Linked DNA regions of Lepisosteus oculatus. The protein of the gene in region 2 interacts with the protein of the main gene of each other region in a pairwise test. Links are inferred from orthologs where the notes say so. Each region holds a gene or a part of one and is shown on either strand. Other genes may lie near its edges.

What was found.
Region 1: the proteins of mtfr1l (region 2) and armc1 interact in binary tests that used the Homo sapiens proteins (3 or more experiments, as listed by UniProt). The two-hybrid records come from large-scale screens. The link is inferred for Lepisosteus oculatus from reciprocal best matches to the Homo sapiens genes MTFR1L and ARMC1.

The regions. Positions count from the first base shown.
Region 1 is NC_090701.1:51,111,672-51,121,319, forward strand, and holds the start of armc1 (armadillo repeat-containing protein 1), read right to left. Parts: upstream 4,377-9,648; 5' UTR 3,893-4,376; intron 1,923-3,892; 5' UTR 1,878-1,922; coding exon 1,716-1,877; intron 1-1,715. Other genes in the region: mtfr1 (mitochondrial fission regulator 1), read left to right, coding at 8,695-8,760.
Region 2 is NC_090706.1:7,848,764-7,857,755, reverse strand, and holds the start of mtfr1l (mitochondrial fission regulator 1-like), read left to right. Parts: upstream 1-5,100; 5' UTR 5,101-5,191; intron 5,192-6,027; exon of another isoform or gene 6,028-6,182; intron 6,183-6,423; exon of another isoform or gene 6,424-6,442; intron 6,443-6,763; 5' UTR 6,764-6,897; coding exon 6,898-6,912; intron 6,913-7,602; coding exon 7,603-7,707; intron 7,708-8,483; coding exon 8,484-8,593; intron 8,594-8,992. Other genes in the region: nuclear receptor coactivator 7, read right to left, coding at 156-214. UniProt on the Homo sapiens protein: Mitochondrial protein required for adaptation of miochondrial dynamics to metabolic changes. Regulates mitochondrial morphology at steady state and mediates AMPK-dependent stress-induced mitochondrial fragmentation via the control of OPA1 levels.

The DNA.
Region 1 (9,648 bases), on a different chromosome or scaffold from region 2:
GCAACTAGATACAATCTGGAGCTAAAGGGATGGTCCTACAGTAACAAGATGAAGGAACTAAAACTCTATAGTCCTTTTTCAGCCTTCTGAATCCTCAGAGGCCTTGACAAAGAAAAACCAGAGGGCTTCTTCCTGAAGAACAGTGAAACACAAACCGCTATGTGGAAGTGCATTTCAAACTGAGAAGACAAGGCACTTCTTTATCCAAAGGGATGAGGGGGTCTGGTACAAACTACCCACATTGCTGAAGTTGCTAACCCTGGCTTCTTTCAAGAAATAGCCAGAGGCCAAGATCCCCGGATTATTTAGCTGATATTAGCCACCAAACAGGCTAGACTAAAGGGTTTCCGCTCAACTCTAGCTGTTCTTATGTTACCAAGTTTGCCATCTGTTTTCTCTGAGTGCTTCGGCCTTCTTCCACATTCCAGATATGCTGGAATGTGAAAATCCCTAAACTGCGCGTGCGAGAGTGTGTGGTCATGATGGGCTGGCTTCCACAACAGGCTTTGGGTTCCTGCAACCCATGACAGGAATATTCGGCTTTATGACTGTGGATGCTGAGAGAAAAGTGTCAAACTCTAAGTAAAACTGTCACATTATCAGAGAGAGGCTGTTACATGCCGAACAAGTGTCTGCTTACCTAAGCTTTGCGAAAAAGTGAAGGAATCCTCAGACAATCAAAAGCAGGCATCATCGTAATACAAAAAAATAAAAAGAGAACAAACGGAAGAACACTACTTTCTTAATGTTTACAAAGTTTCTGTGCAAATAACCAGAGCATAGTTCTAGTTTACACTGTATGAGAATTCATAAAGCAGCTAATTACTACATCTCAGAGATTTTACCTTTCTAACTCCATGAGCCCCACACTAGTAAAATGATTTTTGCACATTTTGTTTGGAACCTTTTTTATAAATTGGTCAAATAAAACATGTAGGAGTCTAGAGTCACTAGGAAATTAGCAGGATGGAAAAAATAATGAAAAACTGGATTGCTTAAATTCACCACTTAAATCAACTGATCCACAAGTTTAAGAATTAAAGCAACAATTAAACATTGAAAACAGCCAAACAAAATGGACAAATAACCAAAACACTGAGAGCAAAGTGAGGAAAGAGGTTTGTAGGGAAAGATATGCAAATCAAACTCAGAAGTACATTTGTGTATTGTAGAAAAACAAGTAAAAAAGTAAAGGCAAAAAAGCTAAGGCTAAGCAAAAAGGGAAAGCACAGGTTGTTTTAGAAAGATAGACACATCAAATTGATTCCTGAGTGAGGATATGAACAGGATCTATACAGTATGTTTTTGAAACATGAGTGACAGTAGTTTAACACAGACAGCCATTCATTTCCACAAGTAAACTGAAAGAAACATTCTCACAGTATTTCTCAAAAGGGAGTTAACATTGCCTTGATGGTTCTCTCATCGAGAGTTTCTGCTGTCTGACCCCTGCGACTAACCCATCGGCGGCTGTGCTCCACGGAGACATTTTAATTCCACTCATGAAAATGAGCGTGATCAAAACATTTAAATGCAAAGCCCTAGAGACACAGAGTACAGAACTAACTTTCAGCAGGCCAGCACAATGAAACAGTCCAGGATGCTTCCAAAGATTCAAAATGTAAAGATAAAAGAGAACAGGCCCTCTCTTCAACAGACACATAAGGTGACAAAGTGTAACCCTGCTTAAGCAGTGCGACGTTTCTAGGCCTTACCAGAAGCGCCGAGTAGACAACCTGAGGGTTAGGATGATCCAGAAAGAGTATGAGGCCCGGCAAGCACCCTTGATCCTGGACAATAGCTCTCCTGTTGAGGGGATCAGCTGCAAGCTCTCTCAGCTGGTTCACTACAGCCAGGGCGTCGGGCTCCAAGCTCATGGCAGCCACTTACTGTGACATGCACATCAAATCAGGCGGCTTGCTCTGCGGGGACAAAAATGCGGACTTGAGACAGCGACGAGGGAAATGGGGTTCGTTTTTACATCGCAGGAGGAGAAGCGAAGCCACGGGCCTCCTCGTGTTAATGCCGACGTTCGCAGGGTGTCAATTCTCTCGAAATATCCGACAGCCTGCCATCCTCTCCCATCCCGAAGGAGGACAGCTCAGGCCCGTCTACAACGCTGAAGATCTGAAAGGTTTCTGAGGAGCTGGCTGACCCAGAGAAATACTTCACATGGTGACGGAGTCTGGCACGTGTGCACTTTCTTACAGAGTTCTCATCAGACGCGCTTCAACATGGTCAACACACTGAACATCTGCACACAAACCTTGAACACAGGCTGATGTCCTCTACTGTTACAGAACCTCTGACGCCTAGGGGCTTTGCTTGTCCAGAGCTGAAGCACAGGAAATTTAAGATATCCAAAAAGATACTCAATGGAGAGGCAGATTGTAGCTTCCTGTTAGATTGTAGCAAAAGGACGTTTATAATGAGTATGATTTCTCACACTCCGATCATCTCTATTTGTCCTACCTCTGAAACTTTTCCCAGTAAGGATGAATCTTTGTTAACCTAAATATTCACTCTTTTGGTGGGAGTCCTCCTTAAAACTTTATTACTTATGATCATCTCAGGCTCTAATTGGTCACTTGAGAACAAGAACATGGTAAAAACTGTTCAGACCCAGAAAGATTTGATATTGTTTATTAAACTATACTTAGCAATATCTGGGTTTATACGTCACTTATCTAGCCTAGTAATTAACGATGAATTAACAGTGTCCAGATGAAGGGTTTCAACACGTATTCTTTCAGTTCACGCGTTTTAAAACTGCAGACCGTTTTAAACAGGTCACCAGACAAAAATGTGGATGTCCGGATTCCAGTAATCCATATTTCAGATTGAGTGGCATCCATTCAATCAGTTACTCTCATATGTGACCACAAACAGAATACCCCACACACCGCAAAAATAGTCTTTTGGCAAATCTGATGTCTTCTAAAATATGACTGAGCACTTTCAATTTCCAATTTTTATAATGCCAAATGGTCTGATTATTCACAGATGGAAGACATATGTTAGTTTTTACCTTGCTCTTCTGTCAGCTCTTTTGTCTAAAGTTGTAGTGTTAATTTTGTTTAAATCCCACAGCTTCACGTGTAAATGCTGGTTACCTCAACTGATTTCTTTATTTGCCCCTTCATATTTTACTGAACTGTGTCCGCAGTTCTTTTAAACACTTTGAGTTAACAGGACTGGTATTTCCTCATACATTAAGGAAAATGTCTTCACTTAAAAAGTCGTTATGCTTTTGACCTCACATCCCTCATATTACCTCCAGGACAAACAGTTTACAGTATGTCTTCTTCAGGACAGCAGCCCACCCGTGAAAGACACTGAGGTGGTCAAGTCACCACCAGGTTAAAACCCAAATTAACACTGCGGGACATTGAGCCTCGACAGGCTACAAGCTACAGCCGACGAAAAAAATTACTTCCATTATTATAGTTATATTCAAACTATATATAATGGCTCGGGCAATCGTTAACGAAGGTAAATTTAAATTACTTTATGAACGACTGGCGTTAAAAAAATACGTAAAGCCCCAAATCGTAGCCGAGGGAACACACACACACACAAAAAAGTTTTCGTGTCACCCAGCAAGGTGAACGGCATGACAGTAACAGCAAATCACCGTTAACTGTGAAACAACAAACACAGACCGCTTTAATGTGAGGCCCAAAAAATATACATATGATCATAAATAAAAGCTAGGGCCGCTCCTGGGCTGGTCGGAAACTGTTTTGGGATTTTTTTGCACACACTGCTGTAACTGACAGATGCATGACAGAGGCCAAGGCCAGGCCAGCTCCTGCGCTCTCGTTCATTGTGTTGCACTCCGGCTCCACCATGTCACCTTCTGGGGGGGATAAACACACCCTGCTGTCCTTACCGAGGATCCCTCTCCGGCTGGGCACTGCGATCCGCGACAGCCCTGGCTCTCCGGGGAGTTGAAACAGATGTGTCCAGCTGCCCGCGTTTTAAACGTCGCTTGGCTTCCAGTAAACACAGAAGTAGCCCCCCAATGTAAAAAGTCCAGTCAAATCCTCATTCTGTGTTTTTTTTCCTCCACATTCAGGTCACAAATAACCACATTCTTGTTTCGCGGCCTGTGATTGGATAACTCAGTACGACTCGCCCGGTTCAGCCGCCATTCAGGCGAAGCCTTCTTAGAGTGGAAAGGTCATTATAACATTTTTTTCCCCCCAGTGTCTGAACGCTGGGATGCATAGGGTCTTTGTTTTATGATACAATTTAATCGTTAAAGTTGCGTTGGTGAAATACAATTACGTCATTTTAAAAAGTGTACTAAACGGCCTATTATAACCCCGTTTAGTACAACAAAGCCCAGGTTAATGCAGTTTAAAAACTGGGAATAAATAAAGGAACGGCCTTTTCTGTGCCTCCCTCCGATTGGTTGTACAGAGCGGCAGCCAATTGCATCACGATATATTTCAGAAGGCGGGCACTTCCGGTCTCTCCCCATCACGTCTTATCGCTGGCAGCGGTCAAGCCACCTATTGGTTGAGTGTGGAAGCCCGTAGCCGCTGATTGGCCGCCGGCAGCCCGTGCAACACGATGTCCAGCCCCTCCCACTCATCCATCGCCCCGGCGCTGCCGGGAGTGGAAATATTGGGAAAAGGGTTTCGGTTGGCTTGGAGGTAAGGTTGCTTATATTAAAAAAAAACGTTTTTGGCGTATACGGTGGTTATCGGGTAAAGGGCACGTTAATAACTTTCCTTATTGTTTTAAGCAAGCAAATACTGCTGCCCCATAGTTATTTTAACCAGTGAAGAAACGTTTTTTTTCTTTCCCTAAAAAATAAACGGTGCTCGTCTGAAAGAACTGGTGCTGCTGTTCGGTGAAGTTCAAAACCGGTTGCCCTGGACACTTAATACTCGCCCAGTGTCGTAGAGTTTGTTAACCGTTCAAAAGGTGTTGAGGTATTTTATCATCCTGGGGTGTCGTGCTTTGTAAGAGGTCGGGCTGAGCCGGAGTCGAGGATAACAACACGTTATGTCCCAGTCCGAGCGGCGCGTCCTTCACGCCAGCGGCCTGTCTGAGTGGGAGGTTACACAGTCGCAGTCACTCGGAAGGAATTCGCTTTACGCGGTTTTGTTTTTTTTTAGCCTGCCTTCCAGTGGTGCGTTTTTTAAATGCCCGTCAAATGATATTTGCTGGTCTAGGGCGTCTTGACCATGAACAGTAACTTCAATTTTTCCGATGCCCCTCACTTTGAGGTCCTGGCGGCACTGGGTTTATTCGTTTAATGGGGTCCTATAGCCTTTCACTTTCACGTTTTTTACTCCTTGTCTCTAGAATCAATAGTATTTTTTTGGAAAAAGAAACAGAAGGGGTGTCTATAAATCAGCGGTCATGTTTCAGATTCCTAGCGAATCTGCTAGGAGCTTCTATCTTTACAGGGAATGTCTAACGCTCTGCTTTGGAGCGAAGTGATGTATAATCGCATAAGTGTACACGGTCCGTGTTTGCGCACGATCATGGTGATGTTGTGTTAATGTTGTGATTGTAATGTTTTGATCATTTGACAGTCAGTCTCGGTGGATAACCTCTCTGTCCGCTGTAGCTGTTTTATACAATTTAAATAGTAGAACTATAGTTGTTGGGTTTGAACAGTGTCAAGTACCACGTCTTTCATGCCATGATGATTGTTTACATTTGTGCATTATTGTATATGGTGCCATGCGATATTTTCTTTTTTTTTCTGGAAAAAAAAACAAACAAATCGAACAATAACAATTGCAGATAGGATGTAGAAAAAACAGGTGCGTGTTTTGGCAGCGGGAGACAAAGGTAGCCTTAAAATTAAGCAACATCCTAAATAACCTGTTGGATGCGGGAGTTGCATCTCTTTACTCTCGATAGGTTGATTCTCTTTATGCAAACTGTTCCTCATTCCTATTGCCACGTTAACAGTCGTAAGGTCCCTGAACCAAATAAATCATCAGCAATTAGGAAATTAGTAATTATGAGAGCACGTGGTGGCAGTGTTTTTATTTCCGATTGATAAAATTTCAAAAGGAAGCTATATCAATGGTAGATCTACATGGTGAAAGGGTAAAATAATGTGCTGTACAAATAAAACAGAAAGGTGTATTTTTCTTAAGAAACTATTGCCCCCTCAGGAGGGCTTGGGTCTGTATTGCAAGGTTGAGGGACAGTAGATGCTGGGTTCTGGGTTGATGGCAAATACAGTACAGTACCTTAGACATGTCTTTGCTCTTAATCGTTTACCATTTACCTAATTTCCACAAAAGCTTGGGCAGAAGCTGGTCTTTAATTGCTGAAAATGGAAAGTGGTATGACTAATAGGGGCAAAATTATTGGTGTTGTTTCAAGCACTCTGAGCTGATGAATCATTAGCTCAGAGTTCTTTCATTAGCAATGATGAACAGTCCTCTTTAGATTTGTGCAAATTCCTATCAACGAATCCATTTTTAATATATCTAATCCTCTCACTGTTCCTGTGGCACTCCTTGTGTGCTGTACAGTCATGCAAGAGAATGAGAAGACTGGAGGTAAGAGATGCTGTTCAGATCTGCATGTTGCTGATCTCCACTAGCTGGAACACTGTGAGCTTGCTAACAGAGCTTACAAACATGCACGGTATTGTCGGCATTTACTGTTGAGTCCGTTTTTAACACAAAATAATTCAAATCATTTTTCCAAACTAAACGCTGGAGCTTGTGTATTTTTGTATTCTTAAAGTACCAATATCTGTGAGTAATTGAGTTCCTGCATAGGTCTGTCGAAATGCTGTTGACGCATTTAAATGGTTGAGAATTTGAGGGCTGTAGTGTATGTACCTTATATGCTGTATGAAGTAACATAGTGGCCCTATGCGTTTTTATGTAAAATACTCTGTTGTCTATATTAAGGTATTTTACATGCCTTTAGACATGGTTTCTGCAAAAACACATTTTTTGGGATTAATTTTTTTGGAGTTTAGTTTATAATTTAATGCTAATGTCAGTTACAGTAGAGCTAGGAATGAATAAAAGCCCCCACCAAATCCTTTTTATTGCCATTACCCATTGTTTCATTTGGAATTTCAGCTCATAGACTTTGTATGGGTCTTCATACTCAGAACTAAATGTAACACAGTGTGCTCTCTAGCTCTTTTGTATAGTCAGTCATCCTGAGATTGTATTATTAAGGTTTTTAAATACTATTATGTAAGAATTGTTTTTTATTTGCAGTATAATTTAGGGTTTTCTCTGTTTAATAATACTTGGCTGATTCTCATTGTCTAGCGGGGTTGTTGTGGTAAGGAGTCTGTAATTAAGTCAGAGAAGGAAAAAGATTTGTGAAAAACATGTTGTTTCATAAGGTTTAAGAATAGAGTATTGTTGTCGGTCACAAAGTACAGAAAACAAACGGCAAAGGTCATTGTTCTTACTTACTGCCTGCAATATGAAAGAAGACTCCGAACAGTTGAGGACAAAGCATCTGTCCTTTGAAATTGGAATAGAATCATGTTGATTGTTGTGTTTATAAGAATTGTGAAAAGCTTGTCTGTTTTATTAGTGTTTACTCAGCATTATATTTTAAACATATATACAGTATTTCTACATGCCTTAAGTAGTTGATTATATTTTTAAAAATACTTGTCACATTATTAATATTAATTTTGCATGACTTTATCTTATCAGAGAAGTCTTCTACATGTCCTGTTGATGTGTTCTTAGAATATAATATTCTTGTTTGCTTTAATATAGATTGTCATAAATACATTTTTTCTATTAAGTATTTCATACAAGAGGGAGACGATCGAGCTGTCTAGCCTGTTTGCTTACTATCAGGTAATTGGTCCCAAGGTTTCATCCAGCTGTTCATCCATCTTATCATCCATCTGTTCAGAACTGCACCTGTTATCAGTTTTTAATACACTTCAGTGGATCTCATTGGCTTGTGGTTTTTGCTGCAGATTCTGAAGTCCACTTGACTTTAATAGTGCATTTCTGAACACTCCACTCCATCATGTGCTAGTACACTCACCACACACCAGCTATTAGTGGGGAGGAGAACAGAGTTAAGAAGCCATTCATGGATGCGGATTATTAGGACACCACGATTGGTAAAGGCCAGTGGGAAATTTGGGCAGAACACCAGGGTTGCACCCCTACACTTTTCCAGAAATGCCCTGGGATTTTTATGACCACGGTGAGTCAGGACCTCGGTTTTACGTCTCATCCAAAGGATGGCGCCTTTTTACAGTATAGTGTCCCCATCACTATACTGGGGCATTAGGACTCTCACAGACTGCAAGGTGAGCGCCCCCTACTGGCCCTACTAACACCTCTTCCAGCAGCAACCTTAGCTTTCCCAGGAGGTCTCCCATCCAGGTACTGATGAGCTGTTGAGCTTCAGTAGGCTGTCAGCTGTGAGTTGCAGAGTGATTGGCTGCTGGATAAATAAAGTGCAATACTTGTTTACTTTGGAAATGTGTCATTTCTTTAAGACGCATAGTTACTGGTTTCCATTGTGCGAGTATGAGCTGTAATTCAAGCGTGCTTGTGATTTGCATGTAAATGTTTCTCATTGTGCCCCATGCCTCAGTGCCTTCCATCCTGTTGGTGCTCACATTTCAGACGGCAGGAGAATGGAAGTCCAGTAGGGAACCTGTGGGAACCCAGAAGATGATGTTGAAGATGGCTTGCAGAAACTCCCTAGATGATTGCCCATCTGATTCGGGTCGTTAAAATGATCCTGGAATCTACAGGAACAGTCATGGACTTAGTGAGTATCCGTTTTTCTTTTATTCGGTACAACTGTGCCTTGTGTTTGTTACTCCTCTCACTGGCAGTCCTTATTGCCATTGCCCATAGAACTTAATTTTGTCATCTGTTCAGATCCCCTGCATACATGCTTTGTATTGATGTCTTGACTTACAGAGGTATCTCTACTATTTATTCATGTAAAAAATAGTTAAAGAGCTCCTGGCATGGAAAGCCTGCCATGCCAAAATAATGATCTGTGAAAATCTTTATTTTGGTTAATAATAATCATTTTCTCTCCCTCCGATAGCTTTCTGATCATTTTACCGTGATCTGTGTGATGGAAAAAGTCCTGTCACATTTATTTAAATAAACGTTTGGAAATTACAGCTCACGCTCAAGGACGTTGTGGCTTGTACTGTAGTGCCAGTACACTGACGAGTTGTGGGTCAATGAAGTGGGATAAGGTCTTTTACAAGAACCAGCAGCAGGAAGAACTGGAATAAGGGGAGTTAGGAATTCCTAATTCTTTCATCCTGATGATTAGTCTCTCTCTTCCATAATGATGGCCTATGATAACGATTTATGACTGGTTTAAAAACATGTTCTGATAATGCAGATTCTGTGCTCTTTACCATAATTTGGTGGATGTTAATAGTAAGCATGTCTCAATTTTGACTGTTTTTTGTCCTAAGAAAATTTACAGTAGGTTTCTTTTATAAGTATTTTAAGGCACCATAGGGTTAGAAATAGACTAATCATACTCCTCTTCTATAAAGGTCTAAGTCAGTATTCTTGAAATGTAGCTAAAAATGATCGTGGAATTATTTTCTTAAGTGGGTTACTTGTAGTTTATGCAGTGATTTACTTTACTATATTTGGTATTAGTTGGTGTTATGTAAATCAGTTC
Region 2 (8,992 bases):
ACAGGAGCTGATGCTGCTTGCTCAGTGAAGAATAAGGAGAAATAAGCTTAAAATAGAAAGCAGACACCCTACCAGACAAAGTGTTAACTGTGGTGAGACAAGGTACATTGAAGTGATTTTTTAAGTCTAAGCAGTTAAGCTAAAGACGCCGTTACCTGGTTTTGACATTGCTGAAGTAGCTCCTGTGCTTTTCTCGGTATGGTTTGTGGTCCATGATCCACAGGTGGGCATCCCAGTCTTCCTCACGTTTTCCAGATACTCAAATCACAGCACCCCTCTCCATCCCCATCACTGAGGGTTACTCTCACATTCTATAGGCCTGAACAAATAGAGGACAGTGCACAGCGCATTGTCAGATGCACAAGCATATACTGGGGCATGGGTTTTAATATTACAATTATTACATCTTAAGTCTGCTGCAACCATGGCTGCTGGTGCTGCTGTACATGCCAGTTTGTGTCTCTGTGTTGGCCAACCAGGTAGATACATCTGTTCTGACCAAACTATCCTATTCTCCTCCCCACATGTCCGGATGGCGCCCGGGGTGGGCACCATCCGAGTTGGATGGCGCATCAATGCCGTGGATCCAAGAGGGATATCGTGGATATAGCTATCGTTTAGGAGGATTTTGCTGGTCTACAGAAATCTGCATGGAGTACTGACATACAGAATATTGGATGGATGAATACCTTTATTGTTTCCTTTTTTTAATTGTATATTGATACAATTAAATGTATATTTAATTGTTAGCATGCCCAAAGGGGTTGGGCATCCAGTTGACTTTGGACCCCTAGAGGTTTTTTTCTTCTCCTTACTAAGGAGTTTTTGGTTCCTCTCATCCGTTGTCTTCCGGTCTTTTCTGTTCTGTATTCACACCATGTATGGTCACTTGCTTTGTTAAGTGCCTTGGGGTAACCTTGTTGTGAAAGGCGCCATAGAAAAATAAACTGAATTGAACTGAATTATTCACTTTATTTAATCAGCTGGCCGCGATGGACTGGCGTCCCCTCCGGGGTGTGCCCTGCCTCACGCCCGGCTCCCCTGTGGCCCTGAACTGGATGAAGCGGTTTAGAGAACTCATGGATGGAGAGCGGAAATCAGTTGAGAATAATATAGCCATTATTGCACACAGGACAAAACCAAGAACGGACAAGCAGACCAATTGATTCAAAATAAAAAACAACAACATTACAGGTAGTGACAGAGTTAACATGCAGTTTTCAGGCAGAAAAAGGGGTTATTGTGGAAATAAAAAGTATTCTGCAATCAGACTTAGGGTTCAATGCTCTTGGAAAGACAAATATTTGCTGAAAGACTTTTTTGTCCTTTGTGACGTCTTTGAGCCCTTTTAAACTCAATCGGCAAATTCAGTAAAGGTGCCATCATGCTCTACTGTGAGTCCTATATTATTTTAAACTGTAGATTTTGTTTCATGAAGGTGAAAGATGATCAAAGATGAATGTCTCAATGATATTCTGGTTACACTGAAAAGGCATATTTCCAGTCATCTTATAAGCTCAGCCTGTACACTGTTTGTGGTTGTTCCAAAGCCTCCTTTTGGTTTTAACAAGCAAAAATAATATTTTAATAAATAAACACACACGCTCACACCAGGGCCAGTTTTCCCAGAAGACTGTGGGAGGAAATAGGAGCACCAGGAGGACACCCACACAAACACGGGGAGAACATACAAACCCCACTCCACATAGCACCCCAGGAACTGAACCTAGGGCCCCAACACCACACTGCGCCACCATAATATTTCTACTTTACTGTCAAAAGCTGACAAGGCAAAGTAAATATGCTCAAGAAACAATGATAAAAAAAAATCACTATTGAAATTATTCAGGCAAATCTAGTGGTACTGTTCCATGTCTTCTCTGCCATTAGCAAGCATTCCTGGCTTAGCTCCTCTGCCCTGGGGGAGGTTTGATCCTGGGAGCGGATGGGCTGAATCTCAGCAGAGAGAAAGAAGGTGATGCAATGTGGACTGCAGGAAGATCGAGGCAGCCTCAATCGATCCCTGCACTAGCGTTCCCTCCCTTCTCCCCTTTCCTCTCCCCCTCCACTTTGAAATGCAAATCAGCACTCCTCCAATCTGGCCTTACCAGCTGATCTGTCCTGATAGCACACGGTTCCTGAGATTTTGGTATTGCTTCTTCCACACAGTGTAAAAAAAGGCAGGCCCTGCCTGTGCCCTTGATAGCTAAGCACATCTGAGGCTGAGGTCTCACGTGGTTAACAATGCTGAGCAGGGGAGTCGCCAGGCTGTAAAGATCGGGGTGTCCTCAGAGGACCTAAAAATAGAGCCATGCCTGAAGGGACAAGAAGAACGTGACCCGAGACAAAAGCCAAAGTCTGGGATCACTGTACTGATTGCTGGATGAAAGGCTTCATCACCAACGGCCCTGTACGCAGCCGATTTGCACAGGCTCTGATCTGGACAATGTGACCTCCTTATTTCCATCACAGCTGGAAACACAGCAGCAGGCGGGGAAGATCAGGCAGCGGGGAGTCCTTTCTGTCGCTGATTTGACAGAAATTACACGCCAGCAGCACCTTGACCTCACTTCTCAGATCTACAACTCATCAAGATCTCAGAAGACCTACAAAATCGACCTTTTTTGTGGCCCCCTAGAGAGGAAAGCCTGGGTGTGAAGGTGTAAATGATACATTTCAGACCCCTTCTGAACCAGAAATGCCCTTAAAAACATGCAAAGAGAAGAAACTCTTCATAATTATTATTTTTCACTGTAAGCAGTCTGACTGATCCTGCAATAACAGACTGATACGTTTTACTTCTGCCCCATATAGCATTATGGAAATTGTAGATTCTAGAGGTTGGTCAAAACAGCAATGTGACCGCAGGAGTTAGTCAACATGAAATTAAGAAAGTCTTGCTCAACTTGTTAGAATTCCTTGAATATGCCACAGCAGTAATGGTTACAAGCAGAGCAAGTCATAAAGTATATTTAGATTTTCAGAAAGCTTTAGATGACATTCCTCATAAGAGATTAATTTGCAAATTGAAGGCTGTAGGCATTCGAGGAAATATATGTGCTTGAATTAAGAACCGGTTAATGAATAGAAAACAGAGAGTACAGATAATGGGTGAGTGTTCAAATTCATTTCATTTCACCAAAACCAGTTTGGTGTAGGAACACTGCAAGTCTGAACTATTATCAATTACCTATATTCTGGCATCATCAGAAAACGAATACGGTTTGCCCAAAATAAATTTTAAAAATAAAAGGATTACAGAGTAATCAATAGTGCAGTGTAGAAGCTGCAAAGAGAATTCAAAAGGATTCTTAAAGAATTCTGGACCGGATTAATGATTAATGATGAATGATTAATGACACTTAATTTAGACTAGGTTATAAGCAAAAAAAGACACCTATTTATGTTTATATACCTTTTATCTTCTTGATCATGCATGCAAGTAATAATAAGGCAGTCAGAATCTTAGAATATATACTTAGAATTTCAAATAAAACCTCATTTGTGTTCATTTTTCATCACCATAGTGCAAAAAGGAATGTCCTGTAGTAACAGGCTAAAATAATGTATCCTTTTGCTCTCTAGAACACAAAAGACTCAAAAAAAAGATTCAAAATCTTAAAAAGGCACTGACACGGTGAAATCTTAGCAGGGGAAACTACAGGAACACTGAGAGCAGGAGGCTTTACACAAAGGGTTGTGGGTGCCTGCAGCCTGTCGAAGGCGATACCTTCATCAAAGGGCTGGATGAGACGCTTGCGTCAGTTACCCAACGGCCTACAAATGAGCTGGGTGGGCCCAAAACCCCTTCGCACTTGCAAGACACTCAGAGGAGAGTCCTTTCACACTCTTCTGACATCTTGTTCTGAAAGTGTGCGTCACATTGACCCAAAGACAGGTGACACTGAGGAGGCATGAAAACTAGAGGCTATAGATCAAATTCTGTAGGTGAGTAAATAGCCTTTCATGCTTAATAATGATTATACTTCTCCTTTATGGGGTGAAAGTACAATTACAAAGAGTGATATCTCCATCTCTTATGTAAAACCAATCTAATATAGCCTCCAGTTGTTCTTTTAATGTAACAATGATACATAGCAATTCAAAGAAATGATGCAGTCAATACTTCAGAAAATGCAAAAGGGAGAGCAATGTCATTATTAAATTATAAGATGGCTAATTCCACTATTTCTATGCCATTTCTGCAATACAAACATTTTGGACTCGTAATGAAACTAAAACAATTCAGCAAGTCAGTGGCCTAAACCCAGCTAGCATGTTGCGCGTTAACACAGAGACTGGCACTGCATGATAATTAGATCTGAGCTGAACACGACTTTGGACGCTGTATGTTAACATGGAGGGATTTGCTCTGCTACCTGATAGTCAGATCCCAAACGACAATATTTACAAAAATGCCAGCGATGGACCGGGTGTGTTTTGTCAGACAGCCGGGATGCCTGTGGCCCAAATCAGATGAGAGCACTTCCGAAGTGTCTCGGTGTCGCATTTGCGTTTGCACGATAATGGTTCTGTTCCCGCGGCTTTGGAGTACACGCTAGGCACCTTCTTTCAAAATACAGAGTTAAATGACGTCCTACTCTTTATGGACCCTTTTCTATTTCGTCCTGAAGTTCAAGGAAATGTGACTGTCGATAACAGCTCGATAGAGAAGAAAGCAGTTGACCGTCTATACAGCATACACCCTGACCCGATGCATTTGGTGCATTTCGTTGCGTTGCGATGCGTTCCCCCCTAAAATACCAAACACCTCTCACATTATCGGACTTGAGCTTAGCAAAAGAGAACAAAAAAAAAAACCCCAAACAAACCTGGTTTTCCCAGCACTGCCTCCACTCGGTGGCGAGGACAGGACCCCCAGACCGCTCGGCGCACTTCTCGGTGCGGGTGTTCGTGTTTTCTGGCTCCCTCAGCAGAAATTGACAAGTTCAGCCGGCGGCTCCGCCTCTCTCTCCGCGGCGCGACCTCCCCAGACGACGCGCGGTGTCTGCCCGGCTCCAGACCCCAGAACGAAACGGCAGGTTCACCGGGTGGTAACTTTTTTTTAGATCCTCATTTTTGGCACCGCGGGTGTCCTTCGGTGTAGCTCCCAGCTCCTCGGTTTGGCGTGAGCAGAGTACTCGCAGCGCACGGTTATCACCAGGCGCAGGATAACCTCCGAGGACTAGAGGTATTTTCGTTGTACTGCAAGAAGCGGTGGTACGATTCCTTAAAAAAAAATGACATATTGTTAATTATTCAGGTGGACACCACCCCTACATCCCTCTCCGCCCACACTTAACCACTACTATCATCACCATTACTGCCATCCACCTACAAGAGCCCTTGAACGCCAGCGGGATCTAAAATTGCATTCTTCTGCAGTGAGGTCTTCAGAGTCGAAACCTTCTCGCGTCGAGCTGAGAGTGTGCGTAATTACACTGTGCTAAAATGCCGCTGGAATTGATTCCTTGGCAACCTTCAAGAAACTGGAAAGATGCAGTGTGTTGTTGTTGTTGTTGATGATGTTTTAAAATCACACCGTCAAACAGCACAATGTTCTTTAAAATACACATTTTTGAAGCAAGGCCAGATACCCAGGCAGTGAGGAAACTGCACGTCATTAATTTGATCTCGTACTTTGTTGCAACAGACGTCAGATTTTTACCGCAAGAGCGAAGAGCATAATATGTGTAAAATAACTTTAAGGCTATTCATTGGGTCTTCGGGGACATCTGGTGGCAAAGCCTGCAAATATTCACCAAGTGCATTATATTATCTGTTGCACAAAGCAATTGTGCATAAACAGACCCATTGCTTCGGAGATTGTCTCTAGTTTCTTCAGTTTATCATTTGAAAGGGAAGTGAGCTGTGAATAAGGAAAAAAAATACATTTCTAACGTAAGTTAACAGCATGGAAAAGGTCAATTAGGGAACTGCATTACTGTAAATTCACGCAAGGGGGCAGTGTGACTGGAGATCGAACCCTTTGTTACTCGGGCCCGGTGGTAGAGTTGCTCTAGCTACTGTAGTACTCTATGGTTCCAGTTCTGTCTAGTCTTATTGGTTTCCACTAAGCGATAATAACAACGATATCAGGGAAAGAGGAAGCTGAGAGCGGCCGCAAGTGTTTAAGCCGGGGAGTTCTTTTGTGGCTGATGAATTTAAAAACCTTGAAGATCGTGAGTAAAATTTCAGGATATCTGTTTATTTTGTACAGGACACTAGTGGTGGTGGGAGGGGGGGTACGCACAGGGTTTTAAACGCCATAGCTCCGACAAACAGGGTCATCTGGGGCTGTTTTTGAAATACCCTCTAGGTCGAGGAATTCCTGGTTGTCCAAAAGGATTCATACAATAACCTACATGATCACTAATACACGAATACTAATACTGCTCTGGACTCAAGAATAACACTAAAGTAAATAATTTGTGATCTCACGGTGGGTATTTCACACGCATCATACTCTCAGCGGTAGAAACTAACACGGTGACATGCAGTATAGGTAGCAAAGGAATAAGTAATAGGTTTATTTCATGCTGAAAAGACAAGAAGGAAAACAACGTGGAGCCTTCTTCAGGTGTGAGAGATGCTGTGCAGGACAGGTAGTCTGCCGTAGTTAACTAGAACTAACTAGCTACTTTTCACAGAATCAGTTTCTGGTGGGTATTTAAATATCATGACCTACATGTAGCCCGTATATGTTGTGCAGCTCTCTCGTCAGGTTTGTCAAATAGTTTTTTTTTCTCCTGTTTCTTTACAGATGTTTAACAGTCACTTTCCTGTCGAGTGTTAAGTGATGTGCATGACGTCTCACGGTACCTAGTGGCCCATGCGATAAAAGACGGGGACTCATATTTTTTTTTTACCGGATTTGAATGTGCTCCGCGATCTGACATGGACCAGGACACGGTAAGTTGTTAGAAAATTGGGGAAAAAAAAGTGCTTTGTGGATTGTAAAATAAGCTGAGCACTTGCAGCTGGTGATGAATTCTATTCGGATCTCCGATATTTTCCTTTTTTAAAATAAAAATATACTAATCTATGAGTGCTGAATTAAAACTGGTAATGAAGGCACTGAAGACAAGACATTTCTCAAGGGCCGGGGATATTTTCAGTTAATGGTGGTTATTGGATTTTGTCATAATATTTCCTTGACATCTAGTTAGTAACGCTATGGGGATAAATAACTAGGAATACTACTCTGTTGACACTCATTAATCACACTGTATTGCCCACTGCATTGTATGTGGCCGTTGTGAGGCAAACGTCTTATTACAACACCTGCTTACAATGCCTGCTGCTAAAGTAAAGTTCACTACGGCTTCTCTGTTTAAATCAGTGAATTATGGAGGGGGTTTTGTTTATAAAAATTAAGCCTTGTGGGCTGAGGGGTGAAGCAGCTACTAAGAAATCTTAGCGATGAATGTTTTAGAACTTTGTCTCCTGGAAGATGTGGTAATTTAGAAATGTGTAAAAGATGAGTCACCGCTGTCACAGACAAGAGCTCATGGGGTGAATACCTAAGGTTGGCACCTGCCCGGCCACATTGTTTGGCACTCCCTTACTCGAAATGCCTGCCTCTTTATGTCTCTCTGTTAGGTCATACCTATTTGGCAGAACAAGCCCCACGGGTCGACCCGCAGTGTGGTGCGGAGGATCGGATCCACTCTGCCCCTCAGGCCCTGCCCAAGAGCGTGTTTTCAGGTGAGAGTGATTGCTACCTGTATTTCAGCACCGGGAGAGGGAGAATTGCATTTCAGGTGAGGTCACTCTGGTCTGGATGAGCTAAGTGATAAACCTGGCTCACACCAGCTCTGAATAGAACACTGTTTTCCCTCCAGCGTGCTGTCAAAAAGTCTTACCCCATCATCCCCATTCTGTGTGTCAGTGCAGGGGTCCTGTCTTCAGTCAGACAGGGGGTTCCCCGCTCTTGGGGTCCAGAGTCCAGCAGGGCTTCTGTGTCTTTTTAAAACGTCCACGGTTGAAGGCTGTGGAGAAAAGACAACCAAGCCCAGTTAAACCTTAAATGGATCAATTTTAGACCTTGCAAAGGTAGGGAGCTGTATATAACTTTTAAGGAAACATGGAAATATCATGGGAGTCTAGAACCTACAGTAGTACAAGAGTGGGAAACCTCTGAAAAGTCTGAATATTGTCAGGGATGTGCTCATCCAGATCCTAATGGACAGGTCAAAGTTACCCTCTATTTTCACAGCGATGGTCTCCGTTTCCTTCTCATCAAGGGAACAGTTTGCATCATTATTTAGACATTTGCTTTGCGCTGCCTTTGTCATGTAGTTTGTGCTGCAATACCCCAATAGAAGGCTGTGGATGTCCAACCACGTTGCTGGAGAGCAGAGTCTTGTAGGCTTATGGCTCTTTTTCATTCATTGATCACAAGATATCTTGCTTAATATGAGCCCCTAATTTAAGATGTTCAGCCGCATGCTGATCTATTTGTTTTTCTGGGAGACATGCAGGCTCTGCCCGGGCTGCCCTCTCCACGCCCCATTGACGGCCCCATGGTGCCCACGCTGGCTGACATCGCGTGGATCGCTGCCGATGAGGAGGAGACCTACGCCAGGGTGCGGTGAGTGCCCTCGTCGGCTCCCACCTGCAAAACCTAGCCTTCAGGCCGAAACACAGATTCACGCGTAAAAATATCCTGAGCTCGTGTGAAATGAGCAACCAAAGCAAATTTCAAGCGTCTTGTTCATTTCAAACCTCGGATCACAGAGGTTACGACCTTGATCTGGATTACAGACGGGTGCATCGTCTGCCTGTGCTGACCTCTCGGTCATATTCTCAAAGCACAGGCCTCCATGCAAAGCTTGTACCTCTTTGTGTTCTTAAAGGACACAATACAGTGACCCTGTAGAGGGGTCACAAATGTGCTGTAGATCAAGATGTGAGTTTAAGGTACCATCAGGAGCTGGTTAGCATTTGCGTTTGGTTTTTGACATAAAAGTTTATTAAAAAAAAATCTTAG